Xenopus tropicalis: one gene and its partners. The protein of the gene in region 2 interacts with the protein of the main gene of each other region in a pairwise test. Links are inferred from orthologs where the notes say so. Each region holds a gene or a part of one and is shown on either strand. Other genes may lie near its edges. The genes, in order: mpp5, lin7a and mpp6.

Region 1 (6,340 bases), on a different chromosome or scaffold from region 2:
AGGCAGGGGATTGCCTTAATGTGCTGATGTGGTCCTCCCCAACAGTATTTTCAAACCTGCCCCATAATTAATGAAAGACTTGATCTGAAGGGGCGGAATAGTCGGCTAAATCTACTTGTATTTATTCTGTTCCATTTATATCCCTCAAGCTTCCAATAAGGGGGTAATACTGACCCTCTTGCACCAGATGTTGAGGATCTCTCGCATTCAACATCACTCCTTTGCTCAGAAAAACTTACAATCTACATCCCTACCACACTCACACTCTAGAGTCCAGTTAACCTGCCTGTGTAGCTTTGGAGTGTGGTAGAAACCCGCGACACAAGAAGAACATTAAACCACCTAATACAACACTTAGTAGTAGGAAAGAGCCCTTAATAACATTGTGTACAGCATAACAGTACAGCCATCCTAGGTGGGACCTCTCTTGCCTCTCTGAAGACATCAGTTGCTTTCTTACTGTACCATATCAGTGCAATATACATTACAGTTTAGACCACCTCTAGCCACAGAATATACAGTTTGGCAGAAAACACCATATGATCATGCAAGTGCTGGTGCTTTCAAGGGCTTTAGCTCCATACTGTACTTTCCATGCAAATCAGACATACAGAGTCAATCCCATTCACGCGAGAGACCCACGCACCCACTCACTTTGTAGTCACAAGCAGGCGGTGGCGGCAGCAATTGTGTCCCATAAGGAGAGAATCTGGAGGCAGTTGTGCAGAGCCTCCCAGGCACTACGCGCTTATCACTCACAACCCTGATGGAATGAGAAGGAGAGGCTAGGTCAGCTGGGACAAGCGAAAGCAGTGGCATGCCGCGGGGGCCAGGACAGCAAAAAGAGCAGCAATAAAGCACACACAAAGAGTCTTTGACATTCCCATATCAAAAGACAGCTGTCCAGGATAAATGGGCACCCTGTTATTTGGGGCATAATTAGATTCAGCGCGACATTGTTGCCAACTCAGATTCCACCCAGGCAAACACGGATCTACGCAAATGAGAGTCCAGCAAAGACAATGACTAAATGGAAAGTTTTCTTTCGGAGTCTTTTGTGCTCTAAGTTTGCCAGCAACAATGCGGGCAGGACACAATACTGCCGCGTAACCATTTACCCAATGCCAGGCACAGAGGACTTACTACTATCCAGGCACCACCGTGTCAAAAGGGATTTTCTTTTCAATTTCCCACAATCTGGCAATAAGCATGTGCTGGAAGTCATGTCTCCAACATTTAGGGTAAGTATGTAAACATAGAGGGTCCAGCAGTCAGGAACCATGGCCTGACTCCTTAGCCTTCAGCCAGATACTGAAGCGTATGGGCCTATATGCTCCTATATGAAGCCCTCATACCTGCACAGCCAAGCTGCCCAGAAGAGCCAAAATGTACCATACAGACAGAGGAAAGCGCCCCTAGTGGTTAGACATTTAGAAGCTCATATACCTCCCACACAATGCACTTTGCAACTTTTCTCTTAAAGGGCGACTAAAACCTCAATATCAAAACCATAAACAATATGATACAGACTGCATCTTTTATTTAGGGTCAAGTAACATCAGTGAACAAATTATACATATCATATCCTTTATTATCCTAAAGCTGTCTAAAGAAGTATCAGTGGCATTCATTCCCTGTTTACACTCACTCTAGCAATGCCATTGTACTTCAAATCTTTTATCCAGTATGCAGATGTGCAGATGTGGGCCCTACAGAAATTATATATACACACACACACACATACATAAATAATATACACAATATTACAAATCCAAGGTAACACTTACATATATATATTATATAAAATAAAATATATATTATAGAGACAAAGCTGTACTTAAGAGGGGCTTATAATGGACTGAAATGGAGAAAAACAGGAAACGAATTAAAAAATGAATGTGGACAACGGAAGAATGGAGGGAGCACCTTACTCAATAGCAGTACCATAAGATTTTAAGAAAGGTGACATGGACCGTAGTAGAGTTGCTTGGCTCCCCCACGAAAAACCCTTTGGTGGGACCCACACCAGCAGGCACGAAACCCCTTACCCCTCTTCTGCTGTGGCCTACATGTAGCAAATAGTAAGCATGCAGGGAGTTTGCTAGTGTTGCCTTCCTTTAAATGAAGGTAAGAAGGTTGTATCCAGCTTTATTGGCAAGAGATTGGTAAACTAAAAACAATGAATGAAAGGCATCACTGTGCCTAGTAAACAGGCAATGCTTAAAGCCGCAATATAAACGGCAGGGCAGGAATATGGAACATTATAAACTGGTCAGCTATCTGAATAATCTTTCCCTACACAAACTAACAGACTTGAAATGTGACAAATGAAAGGGGAATTCTGGGCAAGTTATTTTGGTGGGAGGAATGTGATTACTCAGCAAGAATACAACGAGAGAAGCGTTATGAAAATACTCCCTGTGTTGGGGGGGGACAGGGCCCTATCACCACTGCTTACGCACGCGGCTGGAACGAAGCCCTGCAGGTCAGCAACAAACGGAACGGAGGAGGGAGCACAAGTCTGCCGGTTACCAGTCCATCTTTAATTTCAACAAAGCTTACAGCGTCTTATCGAAATATATACTTAGATGGGTATGTTGTAAAGCCCTCCACTGATAAGGGGTCTGCATTTTATGGGGGGCTTTACTGAAATTGCATAGTGAATACTGCTTGCAGTACCACACCCTACCAGCAGGCTCAGTCAGCTAGGCACCTTTATAATTGAGGTTCTCAGTGCCAGATTTTCACAGTTTCATCTACTTTTGTCCACCTGTGGCAGCTACCAAGTTGCACAAAAGAATTAGTGCAATTTCTTTTCTGGCAGTTACTGGTTGGAAATTTGGCAGTCTGTTTTTTTTGTTTATCAACCTCACCTACTATGTGGTTTCTATATTTCAATAACTAATAAATTCCATATCTACCAGCATATTGTTCCTGTTTTTATGCACTTATATATCATGGACATCCCCTGTAATGAAGGGCTTTTAAGATTCCCAGCTAGCCGGATCCAAAGTCTGAGCTATAATTTAGATTTATGGGGACGGGCGTAGGTAGGTAAATAAAGCATTAGAGAGATGATTATATGGCGCTGTGCGGCGGCAGGGTGGGGGATGTACAGGTGGGCTTACCATGATAACTCCTGAAGTGTCACTAGTGATCGCAAGCAGGTTGCTTGGAGGACATTATCAGCTCGTGGCAAATGCCTAGGGCATTTTTCCACATAAAGTAAGCGGCTGTTAGTATTATAGAGAGATGGCAGGATATGACAGTATTGCTTCAGTGCCTTAAGCAGTTAGCCATAAATCCCGCCTTCCTATTAACCCTATTTATTTGATTTAGTGCACCTACAAGTACTCTCTAAATCACTGCTGCTCTCCGGAGCTGAACTAATTTGTTTAGGCAAAGAACAGTGCCCTGGCAATAGGCTAGTAACAGCACCTGACATATTTGTGAAAAGGGACCTTACACCCCGTTTAGCAAAAAAAAAAAGAAGTTTTTGGGCAGGAGTTAAGGCAGGGATGTAAAAGACACTGGGGCTCATTTACCAACATTTCCCCAAGCACCCAATCAGCAATTAGCTTTCATCTGTCTACTGCAGTAATAATAATAATAAAAGCTAATAACTGATTTATTGCTATGGCTTACTGTATCAGGGTATATTTTCCCAAAGCTAGCAAATGAACCCCCACAGTTGCAGCTTCCTCAGTTATATGCTAGAACTGCTGCTGCTATAATCAGGTTGGAACATTCAAGCTGCTCACATGGCCCATGGGCTTACTGGTTGGGCATAGGTTCTGTGATTGGCAGCTTTATTTATTTATTTTTACAGCAGAAAGGAACAATGGAAATAAAGGACAAATATTACTGCACCCCAAATGATGTGTGTAAATTTCCAGCTGTTACCTAAACTTCATCTTCTGACCTTTAATGGGAAAAGGATGCAAGTCTTTTCTTGCATATAAGTATGTATAAGTAATACATATAGAGAATGTTAATACATACCCAGTACTTTCACAGCCCTGCTAGGACTTTCCAACACTAGACTTTCATCAGTATCAAATATAGGGTTGTCAATTCCAGTTTTGGGGAAAATCTGTGCCAACTTTTTAAGCCTCATAGATGAATTAACATCCAGATCCTGTTTCTTCCCTTCTTCCTCCCGCCTACGCCTCATATCCTCCTGCTGCTGCCGGATCCGTTCCAGCTGGGCACTCCGCCGGATGGGCATCGCCCGCGTACCCAAGTCCCCAGGACAATCGACGGCCATTTCCCTATGTTTGGGTGGCTCCTCTTGAGAAGCAAGATCCGAGCTCTGTTTGTCACTGTCAGAGTCTTCTGTTACATGTCCGTTCACATGAGAAGTGGTCATGACTGCCGGCACCACCCAGTCCAGGTGCTTATAGGTGAGTATATGTCCTGTAGTCTGTACAGTATCCCATTGTAGCTCACTGTGGTTTCATGAGCTGCACATAAAAGCTGGCATTGATGTTAATGCTGCCCTGTTTGAAAAAGAAAGAAAAATGATTAAGCAAAAGTTAAAAAACTTAATTCCAGGCCAAACCTGCCCACCCCACAATTATACATCAATGCAGCCAATTAAGCTACAAATTATTATAAAGCGCCAGCATATTCCGCAGCGCTGTAAAATTAAGTGGGCTTCATACTTTGGACATACAGAGTGACATATATAGCCCTGCCCAAAAGAGCTTACAATCTACAAGGAGAAAGGGTTGAGACACAAGGTGTGGGAATGGGCATGACCAGAGTTGTGAGAGGTTTGGCACATGTTATTGCTTTTAGCAGCACACTGAGGTCATGTTAAACTACATGAGAGTAAGTGAATTCCAGAGAAGGGGTGCAGCCCTTGCAAAGCCTTGAATGTGGGCGTCTGAGGAGGGAATGGGAGAGGAGTTGAGGAGTAGGTCAGTAGACAAAATATTCCTAGTGTAAAGCCACTATATACACAAACTGTAAATTATATGTTTACTGGATGTTTTGGTGAAGCACAAAAACATGTATTATCTATAAAAAAAAACAAACACCTTGCAGGGCTTTGTTTAGGACAAAGACATTGGGAGGGGGGGGGTTCTTAAAAATATCAGAAAAGGACTCATTCACAGGCCAATTTTCCCTCAATTTTCCAAAGGACGTTTTCACAGCACAATAATTACAACTGTTTACTGTTTATACAACACTTTTAAAAACTTTGTGGCATTACAACAAATCCATAAAACTATAAAAGACACCTTTTGCGAGTCTATCATTCTTACAACATTTTTACGATTTGGCGACTGACACTTTAAAAACTGTATACTTACCGACACATTTGTGAATTGCCCCCCTAGGAGATTAGCCAACTGTGATAAATCTTCTAATAACTGCGGCCAACTAATCTTCTTCAAACGCTTTCCCACCAGCAGTAATGTAAATCGCCGGTGGGAAAACATACGTGGCGTGGCCAGAAGTTGCCTCTTTATGAAATTTCGGGCTGCTTTGTATGTTTCCCCACCTGTGATTTGCATTTTAGCCAGTAGGAAGGAAACAAGTGACTTCTTGTTGCCCACGGTAGCAAAGTTCTATTACGGGCAACAAAACATCCCGTGTGTCATTGCCCTTGGGCAACAGATCCATTTATTTAATTATAAGTTATTGCAGCTACCGCAGCCCTCTTTATGAACCCCAGACTGCTTATGGGCTGCATAGACTACTGTGTATGATATTATTTTGATATATTTTGAAGACATATAGTCCGTTCAGCTATTGGTTATTCAACCAAGGGTCAGTGTGAGACTGGCCCACCGGGTGGGCCAAGATCTTAGTGGGCCCTCCTGTTCACACAGCCATTTGCCTTGTATGCCTATAAAATGGCCATTTCCAGTTTCTATGTGAAAACAAAGAAACGAAATGGAGGGAAGGCTTTATGATAATAAGTAAGGAGAACTTATTCCAAAAATAAAGGAAGTCAATGAAGAGAAAAGGAAAAATAGTTTGGAAGTGGGCCTGTGGTTTAAGGTTTCGGGGGTCCCTGACACTCCAGTCAGTCACTGCAAGGGGTATATGCAAATGGGGCATGTCCAGCAAAAATAACTATGGATGCATCAAATCCACAATTTTTGGATTTGGATGATTACTGAATTCAAAAACCAAAATATTTGGCAAAAATAGGAAACTTTTAGTTTTTGCTCAGCTGGACATTCATGTGAATTTTAAAAAAAAGTGTTGGGAATTCAGCAAACTCCGAAACAATTCCTTGATTCCGTGCATTCTTAAAAGCAGCCAAGCATGGCACAGACCAAAAAAGTTTCAAACTCCTAAAGAGACTCCTGTCCTTTTTCCATAT
Region 2 (5,623 bases):
ATGAGCGTGGGGTAGTACTCATTGTTTTTGTTGACCATCTTCTCCACTTACAGAGCTAGTTTACTGTTTTTCTTTGAAATAAATATTTAAAAACAAATACCCCACTTATGTCTCAATTAATGTAATTTTATTGGTATTTATTTTGATTATTGAAACTTAGCAATAGCTGCTGCATTTCCCACCATAGGCTTATACTCGAGTCAATAAGTTTTTCCAGTTTTCTTTGGTAAAATTAGCTACCTCGGCTTATACTCGAGTATATACGGTAAGAGATATATTTCAAATTTGTATTCCCCTACTTAGTGTGTATACTTTCTCCTGAGAGAATTACCCCAAAACATTTTGGAAATACTATGCCAACCTTGCTTCATTCTTGTTTTGGTGGTCTTTATATATTTAGGGCTACATTAATATGTAGGACACAGTGCTGCTATATACAGTATATACAGTCCATAGCTGCTAGCAGTTCTGTTTTACACTGTGTAATTCCAAATATGCACACTAAAACTGGCAGGAAAAATATAATTCTAGCTAAGCAGTCACAACAAATTTCTTTTAACTTTCTTAATTCTTAATTTCAGATGTCTGACAGACGACTGCATATAGCCTGTTCTGAACATAGTTTGTCGTAGAAGCCCTGATTTCTCAATGAAAGAAAGAAACTGCCTTCTCCTCCCTCTCTGAAAATTCAGTTCAGAACTGCAGTTTTCTGTGTTCTTTGTACCAATGTAACAGTCTTAACTACTATAACTTTTAAGCATATGTGTTGCAATGTTCTCTGTTTTTACATGCTGATTTATATCATAATGTCTTAATCTGCTTTTTAAAACTTTCTTCTGTTGTAATATGTGAATATCCAAGCACCTAATGGAAAATTCCCATTTCTCTTGGTTTGGTATGACAAGGCTGCTGAAGTTCTAAGCAACAGTACAATGCATGCTATTCACTGTAGCAGTCCCTTAGCATGGTTTTCCTATGTTTCCTGCTCTTTAACTTTAAGCTTCCATCCTCTTTCTTCCATCCTTCCAAGAATCTTCTTCAAGAATGGGCATGTTATGCAAACACTTGAGTTTCTGACACTGTTAATCACCTACTTCTTATAACTTACCTGTAGCTAAGATTTATACTACCTTCATCTTCTCACTTATTCAGTCATAAGTTTAAGAATAATGTTGCAGTGTAGCCCACTCATGGATTTGTGGAACAAGTCATTTTTTTAAATGGATCTTATTAACTGTCTCATGTCTGGAATTTGTTACCACTGCATATTTTACTTTACCACCTTCCAGCTCTTCCTGAAATGGCATCTAATGTTTTATGTTGGAAAATTCACCTCTGGTACATAATTTTCTGTCATTAAAGGAGAACTATACCCCCGGGTGACCCCTGCCTTGACCCCTCTCACCTCTCCCTTATCGCATAGTTTTTAAGTTTAACATTGTCCCTATCACTAACCCCTAGCTAAAACAGCAGAGTATAGCAGCAGCGTATCTGGCCGACATCTTCTTGGCAACTCAAGACACTTTGGGTCTCTCTGCCAATACGAACCTTGCTTGCGCATTCGCAGTTGGAAATAGCAGGAAATCAGCTCAAACTGCACATGCGCAAGTAGGGTCTGTGACCGCAGTGAGACCCAAAGTCTCTTCAGTTGCTAAGAAGATGTCAGCCAGGTGTTCTGCTGCACTACTCTGCTGTTTTAGCTAGGGGTTAGTGATAGGGACAGTTGTTAAACTTAGAAACTATGCGATAAGGGAGAGATGAGGGGAGTCAAGGCAGTGATAGTTAAGGAGGCTTTTATAGCCCAGGGGTATAGTACTCCTTTAAGAGGCAGGGCACTCTGATGGGATCAGTGCTTGGGATAATGTAAAGTTCTGCTGAGTACTACAAGGTGCAAGAAGGGTAGACTTTGACAGAATAGCTGCCCAGTTTACAATTGATCACCAGTGGCTTATGATAGGGCAGGCAGGAAAAGGTTTAACATATTGGGGGTAGAGTTTAGCAGTGGAAGAGTGGAGCTGTAAGAAGGATTTTGGGTAGTTACATCAGGAAAAGCATAGGAGGTTATGTCAGGAAGAGAAAAGGAGCAGTCCCACCCCACCTTCCCTTCAATAATTGTGTAAGTTGTCTCAAGCGTGGCCTGGGAGAGGAAAAGGGTTTTGTGTCACTGGCAAATAGTTAGGGGGGTTTGTCACAGCAAGCATGGTGGTGGGTGCCTGGCATTGGATTTGATAGTTTAAATGTACTAAACAAATGGTTTTGTGTCAGTAAGGAATAAAACTTCTCAAAGGGTAGGTGGTCCCTTGGATTAATGTTTGGAATTGCTTTAGCAGGCAACCCAGAAAACCAGCATATCCACCGAGCTGGTGACCTTGGTACAGTTGAAAGGGGATCTATCATGAAAATTCAAACATAATATAAGCTTCATCACACTAAAATAAGACACTTTCTAAATATAATTGATTGAAAATTCAGTTTACAATATAATAAAGTTGCTTTTTATACTGCCCATCTCAGGAATATTTCTCTCTCTATTTTCTCTTCATGAAGTAGGTGGAGTCAGGTTATGATAGGTGAGCGAATCTGTTCTGTTTCGCTTTGCCATAAAATTTGCGAAACGGCAAGAACATTAGGGAAACGGCGAAAAATTTGCGAAATTTATTTGTTGCACAGGTTTTTTTTTGTCGTCTCAAAAATAGAAAAAAGGCAGGCACTCCGGTCAAATCATTAGTGGATAGCAATTGTTCATGAGAAGTGGAGGTAAAATCAAAAAAACTTTTTATTTAACACATGATACAAAGAGCCTTACGCGTTTCGTACCTCCTGGTACTTAATCAATTTTTGTCGCCCTTGTCTTTTTTTTTTTTTACGCCCGTCAAATTTTTCTGCGGCGAATTTTCACGGCAGTTTAGCGAAACAATTCGCCAATGCCAAAATGTGGAAATTCGCTGCAAATCAAAATAGCCCTTTTTTGGAGTAAAAGTAGTGGGAAAACTGGTGGAAAACATTTTCTCCATATTCATCCGCCTAAATTCCACTTTTCTGTTTTTGGTGAAAGACAGTTTACAGACATTTTGTGAATTTGTCTTTAAATGACATTTACACCACATTTTAACAACATTTCCCCCCCGCCATTTTCAAAATGGAGTGAAGCTCAGTGTAACTCTGTCAGATCAATTCTAAGCTCTTCTGTTTTGCTTTGTTTCACCCAGTCTCCATTTCACACCTCTGGTAGGAGCCCATCATTAACATTGTTGATAAAATGACAAAATCGGAGAACAGTTTGTTTAAAAGACAAATTCACAAAAGTGGAGAAAAAGGTTTGTGAATACGGTGGAAAATCCGACAAATCTATCTCCACTTTTATTTTGTCTCAGTATCACAACCTTTGTGAATTTCCCCCTAAGGGTTACGGATCTGAATATTCATCTTTGGATGTTGATAAATAACCACCCTTGTAAAAAAAAAAAACAATTCACGTATCAATGACAAGTTGTGAGTCAGATCATAGCAATGAGACTCTCTAATTTCCACATTCTCATAAGAAGTGAAAGCAATGAAAACTCTCACCTACGACATATGATTTTGCTGCGTGTGCTGTTGTTGCTGCTGTTGCTGCTGCTGCTGAATTAATAGCTGCTGTTGTTGCCTCCGCCTAGCAGTCCTCAGCTTTTCAAAGCGAGCTTCCATTTCATCCAACACCTTTGGTGTGTATCGCACTACTAGCTTTACACTGTCTTTAGCAGCTTTAAGCAATTCCACTGCTTTCTCATGATGTTCCCCTTCCACACTCTGTATATTTAAGAAAAATTAGATAAATTCAAGCAAGCTAAAAAAAGAGATATTTAACGTAATCTGATCAACGTATTTGAAATATACAGTAGGTATATGTTTAATAAGCATTCACATTAAACTTATTCCTAAACTAATATACTATCAACTTATATCCTAAACGACATTGCAGTGGTGTGAAACCAATTTAAACTCTCATTGTGGGGCAGACAGCAGATGCTGTGTATTAAACATTTCTTGGCAGTATAGCCAAATAACTGCAGCCAATCTTCTGCTAGAGGAATGAAGGTCAGTAGAGACATTAGATGATACGTGCCTCTGGCTGCTTTGCAGCAATGAAACTCACTTGCAGTTGGTGAATTCTGAATAACTGCGACATGTCCCTATAGTCAGTGGTTTACCTTAACTTGATGGGCACTAATTATTTCCCCCTTGAAAACACTTCTTATTATGAATAAATAAAAGAAAACAAAATATATATATATATATGTGTATATATATATATATATATATATATATATATATATATATATATATATATATATATATATATATATATATATATATATATATATATATATATATAAATGTATTAAAGAGGACCTGTCACCCAGACATAAAAAGCTGTATAATAAAAGTCCTTTTCAGATTAAACATGAAACCCAAATTCATTTTTATATTAACACATACAGACCCATCATAGAGGCGGGGCAGACAATAACTTTAGCTTTCCATTCAGCACTACCTAGATGTCACTGCACATCTCACTTTTCCCCTCCCTCCTCATCATCTCATTGTGTAGCCAGTGCACGGGCCTGGGCATCTGGCCCCCCATTCTGGCACATAAACAAGATTTTGGCATGATACAAAGCTTGCCTTAATAACAGTGTCCACAAAATGGTGCCTGCCTGCTTGCTTTGATTGAGTAATTCCAAGATGGAAGGAAACAAGATTTATATTATTTATATAGAGTAAGTAAAGTTTATTTTGCTCAACTAACAATATAGAAAATAATTTGGAGTTTTTTCTTAGGGCGACAGGTCACCTTTAAGATAATCAGTTATATATTTTTTAAAAAGTATCAGTATATTTTATTAGACACTGTGCCCCAGTTGTAATCTGAAAACAGTACAGTAGGCCTGCACTGTGCCTTTTACTTCAGAATGCACCTAAGAAAGCATTGTTAAAGGACACTGAAATGTTACGTGTATCCTTATTGATAATGAGTTGTTTAAGCATTTATACAGTACATGAGACTTGACCACGTGACATTACCCCCATGCCATATTTATCTCACTTGGGCTCTTGCCATGGAGTGGTGTCAGCATTATCACTGGTTCCAATGTTGCATTCAATTTTCCCAACCTACATGCTCCATCCAGTATTTACATTTACCAATGTAGTAATGCACAAAATGAGCATAATCTTTAGGGTTTAGCAATATACTCATGAACCATGAGGTATTAGAGGCAGATTTAGTGAAAAGTAAAGTAGAACAGTCCTGCACCACTGTGGAGGGTATAGGGATGTAATTCTGTATCTTTAGGTTATCAACCTTATCGGACTAGATCCCTAACGGCCAACGGTGGTTCAGGGATGAACACTATCCTGCAACCTGTGTCTAAAATGTGGTCCCTACAATAAGGCAGCAGAGCCGGTAAAGGAGAACTAATCCTCTATTCTCTTACATGGAGCCAAAACCTGCTCTTATTAAATAAGCTGTCTATCTCACATGGCTACACATGCTATGACAAGAGATATTCTGTCCTTGCTGTTTCCTCATTCACAGGGTCCCTGCCCCCTGACTTCACTAATGGTATTTGTCCCCTTAGGG
Region 3 (7,084 bases), on a different chromosome or scaffold from region 2:
GCTCAGCCTCATTTAAGCTCACTAGCATGGCTGCCTGTTAAGCAAAGGATAGCTTACAAAACCCTTCTGCTGACATTCAAAGCCCTCCACTCCTCTGCTCCTCACTACATTTCTTCACTGGTCTCCCTACATGTTCCTGGTCGTCTCCTCCGCTCCTCTCAGAGCCTCCGTCTTTTTACACCATCCACACCCACTGCGCTCTCTCGTCTTAAACCTTTCTATCTCGCTGCTCCTTACCTCTGGAACTCTATCCCTGAATCCCTTCGTAGGGATAACTCACCCACTCTCTTTAAGAAAAAACTCAGCTGTTACATTCTGGAGCACTAAAACATTATTTTGCCCAGTCCTGCGCTTAAGGGCAAATGCCCATACCTGATGCACTCTTACCTTCCAGTTTGTGCCTGTATGTTACCCAACCACTCAGATTGTAAGCTCTACGGGGCAGGGACCTCCTTCCTACTGTGTCTCATACCACATGGCACACATATATGTATTTATTTATTATATCACTTGTCCTCCCTGTGTGTAATTTTGTATTCTGTAAGACTGTACAGCGCTGCGTACCCTTGTGGCGCTTTATAAATAAAGTTATACATACATACATACATAAAACTGAAGTTTAAAGGACAATGCAAACCAGTGTCAGTGAGATTTGTGCTTATTGTGCTTACAGGCAGTCTCCATTCACATATGAATGTCAGGTCTGTAGCCTGCCTTTGGCGAGATACCCATTAAGGTAACACTTTCCTTTGGGCTGCAGTGGCACTATTAGGCTGGACTCATCCTCTCCTGGATACATGCTGCATTGGAAAATGCACCAAATACCTAACACTTGTGTTGCAGTGCAGTTGTATGTTCTTACCAGAAAATTGAGCTCAGCATCAATAGCTGCCTGGTACCGGATTACAGCCTAGTACAGTTCACATTGCAAGGCGCCACCAACCAGATGTTGGAAAGAACTTCCTTCCATAATAATACAGTGTATGTAATGAGCACAATGCTTTCCGCTGTGGATTACACTCCATATCCTGGTAGGGGTAACATTGCACTACTCTAGCAGTTTTGCACAGGTTAAACTGCACACTACTGTAGCAGCACTGTACAGAATACACATCTCAGATCAGCAGATAAAATATGAATTATATTACAAACTACCCCCAGCAGTACCATATGGGTCACACAACTTTCCTCCCAGCAGTTCCACACACACTTCACTAGCAGACTTGCAGCCCAGTACAAAGCAGTCAACTTGTTTCCCTTTATGGATTTCAGCAAAGCTAGTGTAGAGTTAAAATGTTTTTTTGGGAAAAGCGAACATCCCCTATCTGCCTATAATCCCCTGTAATGTAACATACTGTTTTTCCCATAGAAAACAACCCCAACCCTGACTGTCTAACCCAGGGATCCCCAACCTTTTATACCTGTGAGCCACATTCAAATGGAAAAAGTGTTGGGGTGCAACACAAGCATGAAAAAGATTCCTAGGGGTGCAAATAAGGGCTATAATTTGCTTTTTGGTAGCCCCTATGTGGACTGGCAGTCTACAGAAGGCTCTGTTTGGGTTTTTATGCAACCAAAACTTGCCTCCAAGCCAGAAATTCAAAAATAAGCACCTACTTTGAGGCCACTGGGAGCAACATCCAAGGGTTTGGGGAGCAACATGTTGCTTACGAACCACTGGTTGGGGATCACTGGTCAAACCTAATAGTTTAAATCAGGGATGGCCAATACGTCAATCGCGGTCCACCAGTCGATCCCCCGTGGATTTCTGGTGGACCGCGATCAAGCCGGGGATGTGGAAGTGCTCCGTGAATGCGTACATACGCTGCGATACGTACGTACTCACGCACTTGTGCATTTGGCATCAGTCCGGTCCATCGCGACCAAAGAAAGTCTGGCCACCCCCGGTTTAAATCTTCCATCCTCTTTTCCTCTGCACTCTCCATCTCATTACTGCACTGCATACTCAAGGTGAGACCTTACCAGGGACCTATAAAGGGGCAAAATTATGTTTTCATCCCTTGAGTCAATGCCCTTTTTTTATTTTTACAAGACAGCACTTTATTTACTTTAGTAGCCACAGAATGACACAAAAATCCCCAGATCCTTCTCAATTGAGGGTCCCCCCAACATACTACCATTTAGTGTATAACTTGCATTTATATTGTTCCTATCAAAGTGTAAAACTTTTCACTTGTCAACAGTGAACCTCCTTTTCCATTTTGCTTTCAATTTTGTCAAATTGCTTTGCAAACTAGCAGCATCCTGCATGGAACTTGATTTCAGAAATAGCCCAGAATTTAGGTGATTCAGTTGAGAATGTTTTATGCCCATTGTGATGAAGCACATTTCCATTTTTATTTTTGTGATCCCATTCAAGTTTTCCTTTACAGAAATGAGGAGCCCTAACCTCAAACCATTATCATTGCCCCCATCCACATTTACATCTGCCAATGGCATTATGCATTCAGGAAGGCAGTGTCCCCCTGGCAGCCGCCAAGCCACACGTATTGATCAGACTGCCAGATGGCACAGTGAAATTTCCGCAGCTCCAGGGTCCATAGGCGCTTACATGGCACAGGGTTATGTTGGGTTTGAGTGCAGCTGCTCAACCCTAATTAAATAAACCACTGTCTCCTGCGAATGTTTCCTGCACCGATGTTGTTTCCATACAGGTTGGAACTGGCCAGTGAGTCCAAACACAGGACTGTAATTTTAGAGGCGATCCTGGGATACTATTAGTTATATTACATATGTGCAACACTATATACTGTTCTACTCCAGTTGCCCTCTGTCTACATGTACATGTGCAGCACTATCGCTGCTCCTATCCATCTGCCCCGCTAAGAAAGAGCCTGCCCACCCCAAGCATTCCTACACATACACACTCCCATGCCTCCCCCCCCAAATCCCGAACAAATGAAAGGGTGCCCCGCCTCCGGCCGCACAACTGGACGCATCACACCGGCCGCTCCCTGAAGCCCTTTCTGTAGCTCCTGTAGCCGCTCGGTACGACCCTCACACCCACCCCAGTCCGTAAGCGCAGCTCCACTCGCAGCCCCTCTATCTGTACACATCTGCACCGTCCATGCCCCCTATTACTACAACCTTCACCTCAACTCCTCTCCCCGTTTCTCATGTGGCACTGTGAGGAGGCGGGCTTTTCTCTAGCAGGTACAGGCGCTGGCCACGCCCCTAAGTGACTTCAAACTGTCCCCGCCCACATTCTGGTCACGTGACTGTGACATCACGACCTCCTGAAAGCCGCTCCAGTCTGGCACCCAGTTAGAGTTTACATGTGTCGCTTGTTCCCCTCTCTTGCTAAGCTCTCTCAGCGTGACTGTACATTGCAGGCTGGAGCATCCACTGTGTGGAGCGGAGCCAGCTTGGGAGGTACCATCTACATAGCGGGGAGCGGCTGGAGAAGGACTGGGGGCCAGGCACGGCGCGCTGTGGAGAGACAGAGGTGAGTGCTGTCAGTGGCCGGGAGCGCTATGATTTGTGCCCAGTACGGCAGTGGGAGGAGGAGGAGCTGCAGACATGTGCAGCATATAGAGGCTTAGCGGCTGGACTAAGTATGTTTGCTCGGTGGGCTCCGTGTCACAGGCAGTGCTCCTGTGTCCCCTCATGTCACAAGGGAGAGCTAGCATTACTGGGAGTGCGCGGAGTGTCCATGCTGGCTTATTACCTATCAGCCTAACAAATGGCACATACTTGTCATATGGAAGGGCCCAGAGGGCAGTTGAGCCGCAAGTTCTGCTTTCAGGGAGGGCGCCCTGCGTTATGCGGCTTTTTAAGAGCGACGGTGTCTGTGCGACAGTTAAATACTATTACTGTATCAGGCAACGCGGCCCTCCGTCTGCCTATGAACTGCAACATCGGGGGGAGGCGGACACAGCAGAGGGCTTACTGCATATGTCTGTGTGGCAACTTGTGCTCCTTGCTGTAGCTATGATTTCGCAGTACGCGTCTGTGTGCCTGGATCGTGTGTGTCTTACTGATCCTGTGGCTCTATGGCTTGTCCCTTATCTAACAAGTGCACACATTTCCCCCAGCCCTATAAGCACAAATGCCTCCTGTATCTTGTACAGATAAATCACATTTATGTACAGAAGCACCGAATGCCTGTGTGGAGCCTTGTCCCTTGTGACTGTGGGTACTGTCAGGCTGAATCCGCTGCTTGCAAAAGCCACAGGCTCTGCTTTAGGTGTATAATGTGCCTGTAGCAACGGTTTCCATTAGAAATACCCCTAATACTTAGGGAAGGTATGCAGTAAATGGCATTATTGAAACTATAGTAAAATAGAAAATGATCTAATTCATTTATCTATACTATCATATGCAGTTATAATGAACATTTACTCCTGCCCCCACTTACCTAAATGGTTTATTCTCACTTTTTGTACAGCTCATAAATGTACTTTTTTTGCAACCTTTCAGTGGATATCATGGGCTCTAAAGAATCATTGGCAGCAGATATATCCACTGGAACATTGGCATAGGTCTTAGGGCAGTTAATGAAAATAATGTGGCCTTGTCTCTACTTTAATGAAGAGTAGTATTCACAAAAGCTAAAAATATATTTAGGGTGGGTATTTAAACTATCTGTGGTAAAGGATTTCAGAGCTAGCCAACTCACAGGGACTACAGCTTCTTGGCTACTGAAACTGCACTTCTAGCTTTTTACATTTGAAATAAAAATATTCATACAGAAATGCACATTCCATGCTCAGAATCTGGAAGAAAGCTTTGCAGTAAGTGCTCTGTAAGCTACTGAAGTTGCCAGTAGTTTATTTAATAAATCACTTCATTACCCTTCACCGGTACAAAAAAGCTGTGAGTGTATAACTTACAGAAGGTGTCTATAACCTGGAACAATGCAGTGAGCTTTGCTTGGTCTGTAGGACAAAAGTGCATTATAGTAGTTTTACTTGTGTTTTTTCCTTCAATTTTTATGTTTGTCTACTTTTTTAAAAATGTTGTTATACAAATGCTACAACAGGGCAGTTTTACATTTTGCAGTAAAGATGCTTGAGTAAAGATACATATTCTAACCGTATTATATTAAAAAAAAAAAAATGTGCAGTGCATTATACTCCTCTAAATGTGAAAGGAATTTGCTTTAAAAAGATTTGTTTTGGGCTGTTTTATTAAGATTAATTGAGAAATTTCCCCCAACCCCTACTAGTCCTGCCTATCTGTTCCACTTCCTGCTGCCTCCTTCCCCAGGCAGTGCAGGGGGGCCTGCACAACTCAGCACTCTCACTGAACTGTAGGATAGGAACCAATCAGCAGTCAGGTGAAGGAGCTAGAGAACTAATGCCTGCCTTTGCTTGTGTGACTGCTGGACTGTGATTGGCTCCTACTGTGCTTCCGGCAGGGACCATTAGGACACGCCCACTCCCCATTTGAAACAGGGACTATACCAGATATTTGAGGAACTTCAATAAATTACAATTTTTAAAGTTAATAATTTTTGGCTCAGAGTGAAACCTGACACATGTAAAGCAATCCTTTCCTTAATTATGTTGGATATAAAAAGGGCCCTGAATTAGACTCTGGCAGGGAAAAGTAAAAAATTTAAAGTATTCAGAATCTGCAAGCCTCACACTCATGTAAAGTCCATCAAGTCTTTACAGAACCCATTAGTTTGGGTATATAATCTGCTTTTTGGAATGCTTGGGACCTGAGGTTTTCCAGATAAAAGATATTTCCTCAACGTGGATTACTGTACTTTAAGTCTGCTAAAAATAATCGAAACAATAAATAAACCCAATGGCATTGTTTTGCCCCCAATATGAATTCATGCAGTTTAGTTACCAACAAGTATAAGCTGCTGTTTTATTATTACAGAGAAAAAGGAAATCATTTTTAAAAATAAGACTTATTTGCTTAAATTGGACTTAATGGGAAATGGCCTTCCCATAGTTCTGTGCTTCCTGGATAATGGGTTTCTGGACAAGGGATGCTATACCTGTAGTGGCTATTTAGCCATGCATAGATCATTGGTCTTTTCCTAGTTTTTATCACTCATTACTGCTTGTACTGGAACAGAACTTCATAACTTGAATTACCATTCCCTAAAGGAACCCTTCCAGTGTTTCCGGAAATACCTTTCATCTAGTCTCTATGGATGTCCTCTTGTCACCATGCTTTTGTATTGACCTTGTAAATATCTGTTCTTGTACATCTGTGCTAACATGAAATTGTATATGGTGTCACTAATTTCTCACAGCATTGCAGCACAGCATACCTACTCAGGAACGGGCACAGAGGGGTCTAACAAACAATTCATTTTACATATGCAAAATCAGCCCCCTTGTATCATCTTTTCTTTATATGTGATCTAAAACTTTGCATATATATACTATATCATAAAATGTGGTCACTTAATATATTCTCTTAAAAGTTACTGTTAATAATGGTATTTAAAATAATAATAATGCATAGTATGTTCTTTGGAGTTTTAGGGGGAAGCTTTTACTTCCCATTTAATAAAACTTTTACTTCCCATTTAATACTATAAAAGGACAATAAAAATTGCTGATCCATAATCTTTTTAGCTGTAGCTTAAATATAATATGTTCTGTTTACAGGAATTGTCTTTGTTCCCATCTAGTTTTCTAGTTAGGTGAAGTTTTCCCTTTGCTACCTTATGTGAAATGGTATCAAAGCCTTTGGAAATTCTAATCATCCCAAACCTGACTTACCATTATGGGCATGAGTGAGATCTAAACAGTTATGTCTGATATTGGACCGTCTTTATCAAGTAACGCTAAAAAGGTTAGTGTTAGAGGGGCTTTCCAAGAATGATACCCAACAGAAATAGAAAACTAATGAATAATTGTTCAGCTAAATTAAAAAAAAAAGTATATCAGATCATTCATCTGAGCATGAAATTAGAAAACAATGTGTCTTGCTTTTTTTATCTTGACAAATGTGCATGAAGTGACATTTGTTCAGTTAACTGGCACCTTAATATCTGCTATGGACTGTGTTTCAAGCAGGGTGTCATGATAGTAGCATGCAGCCTCTTGCAAGATTATTTTTCCTTAATTTCACCAGTTCCTAAATTGTCTTTAAG

Evidence for each region.
Region 1: the proteins of lin7a (region 2) and mpp5 interact in binary tests that used the Homo sapiens proteins (3 or more experiments, as listed by UniProt). The two-hybrid records come from large-scale screens. The link is inferred for Xenopus tropicalis from reciprocal best matches to the Homo sapiens genes LIN7A and PALS1.
Region 3: the proteins of lin7a (region 2) and mpp6 interact in binary tests that used the Homo sapiens proteins (3 or more experiments, as listed by UniProt). The link is inferred for Xenopus tropicalis from reciprocal best matches to the Homo sapiens genes LIN7A and PALS2.

What each region holds. Positions count from the first base shown.
Region 1 is NC_030684.2:119,267,017-119,273,356, forward strand, and holds part of mpp5 (MAGUK p55 subfamily member 5), read right to left. Parts: intron 4,500-6,340; 5' UTR 4,370-4,499; coding exon 4,003-4,369; intron 1-4,002. UniProt on the Homo sapiens protein: Plays a role in tight junction biogenesis and in the establishment of cell polarity in epithelial cells.
Region 2 is NC_030679.2:52,567,530-52,573,152, forward strand, and holds part of lin7a (protein lin-7 homolog A), read right to left. Parts: intron 3,790-5,623; coding exon 3,568-3,789; intron 1-3,567. UniProt on the Homo sapiens protein: Plays a role in establishing and maintaining the asymmetric distribution of channels and receptors at the plasma membrane of polarized cells.
Region 3 is NC_030682.2:40,897,732-40,904,815, forward strand, and holds the start of mpp6 (MAGUK p55 subfamily member 6), read left to right. Parts: upstream 1-3,350; 5' UTR 3,351-3,466; intron 3,467-7,084.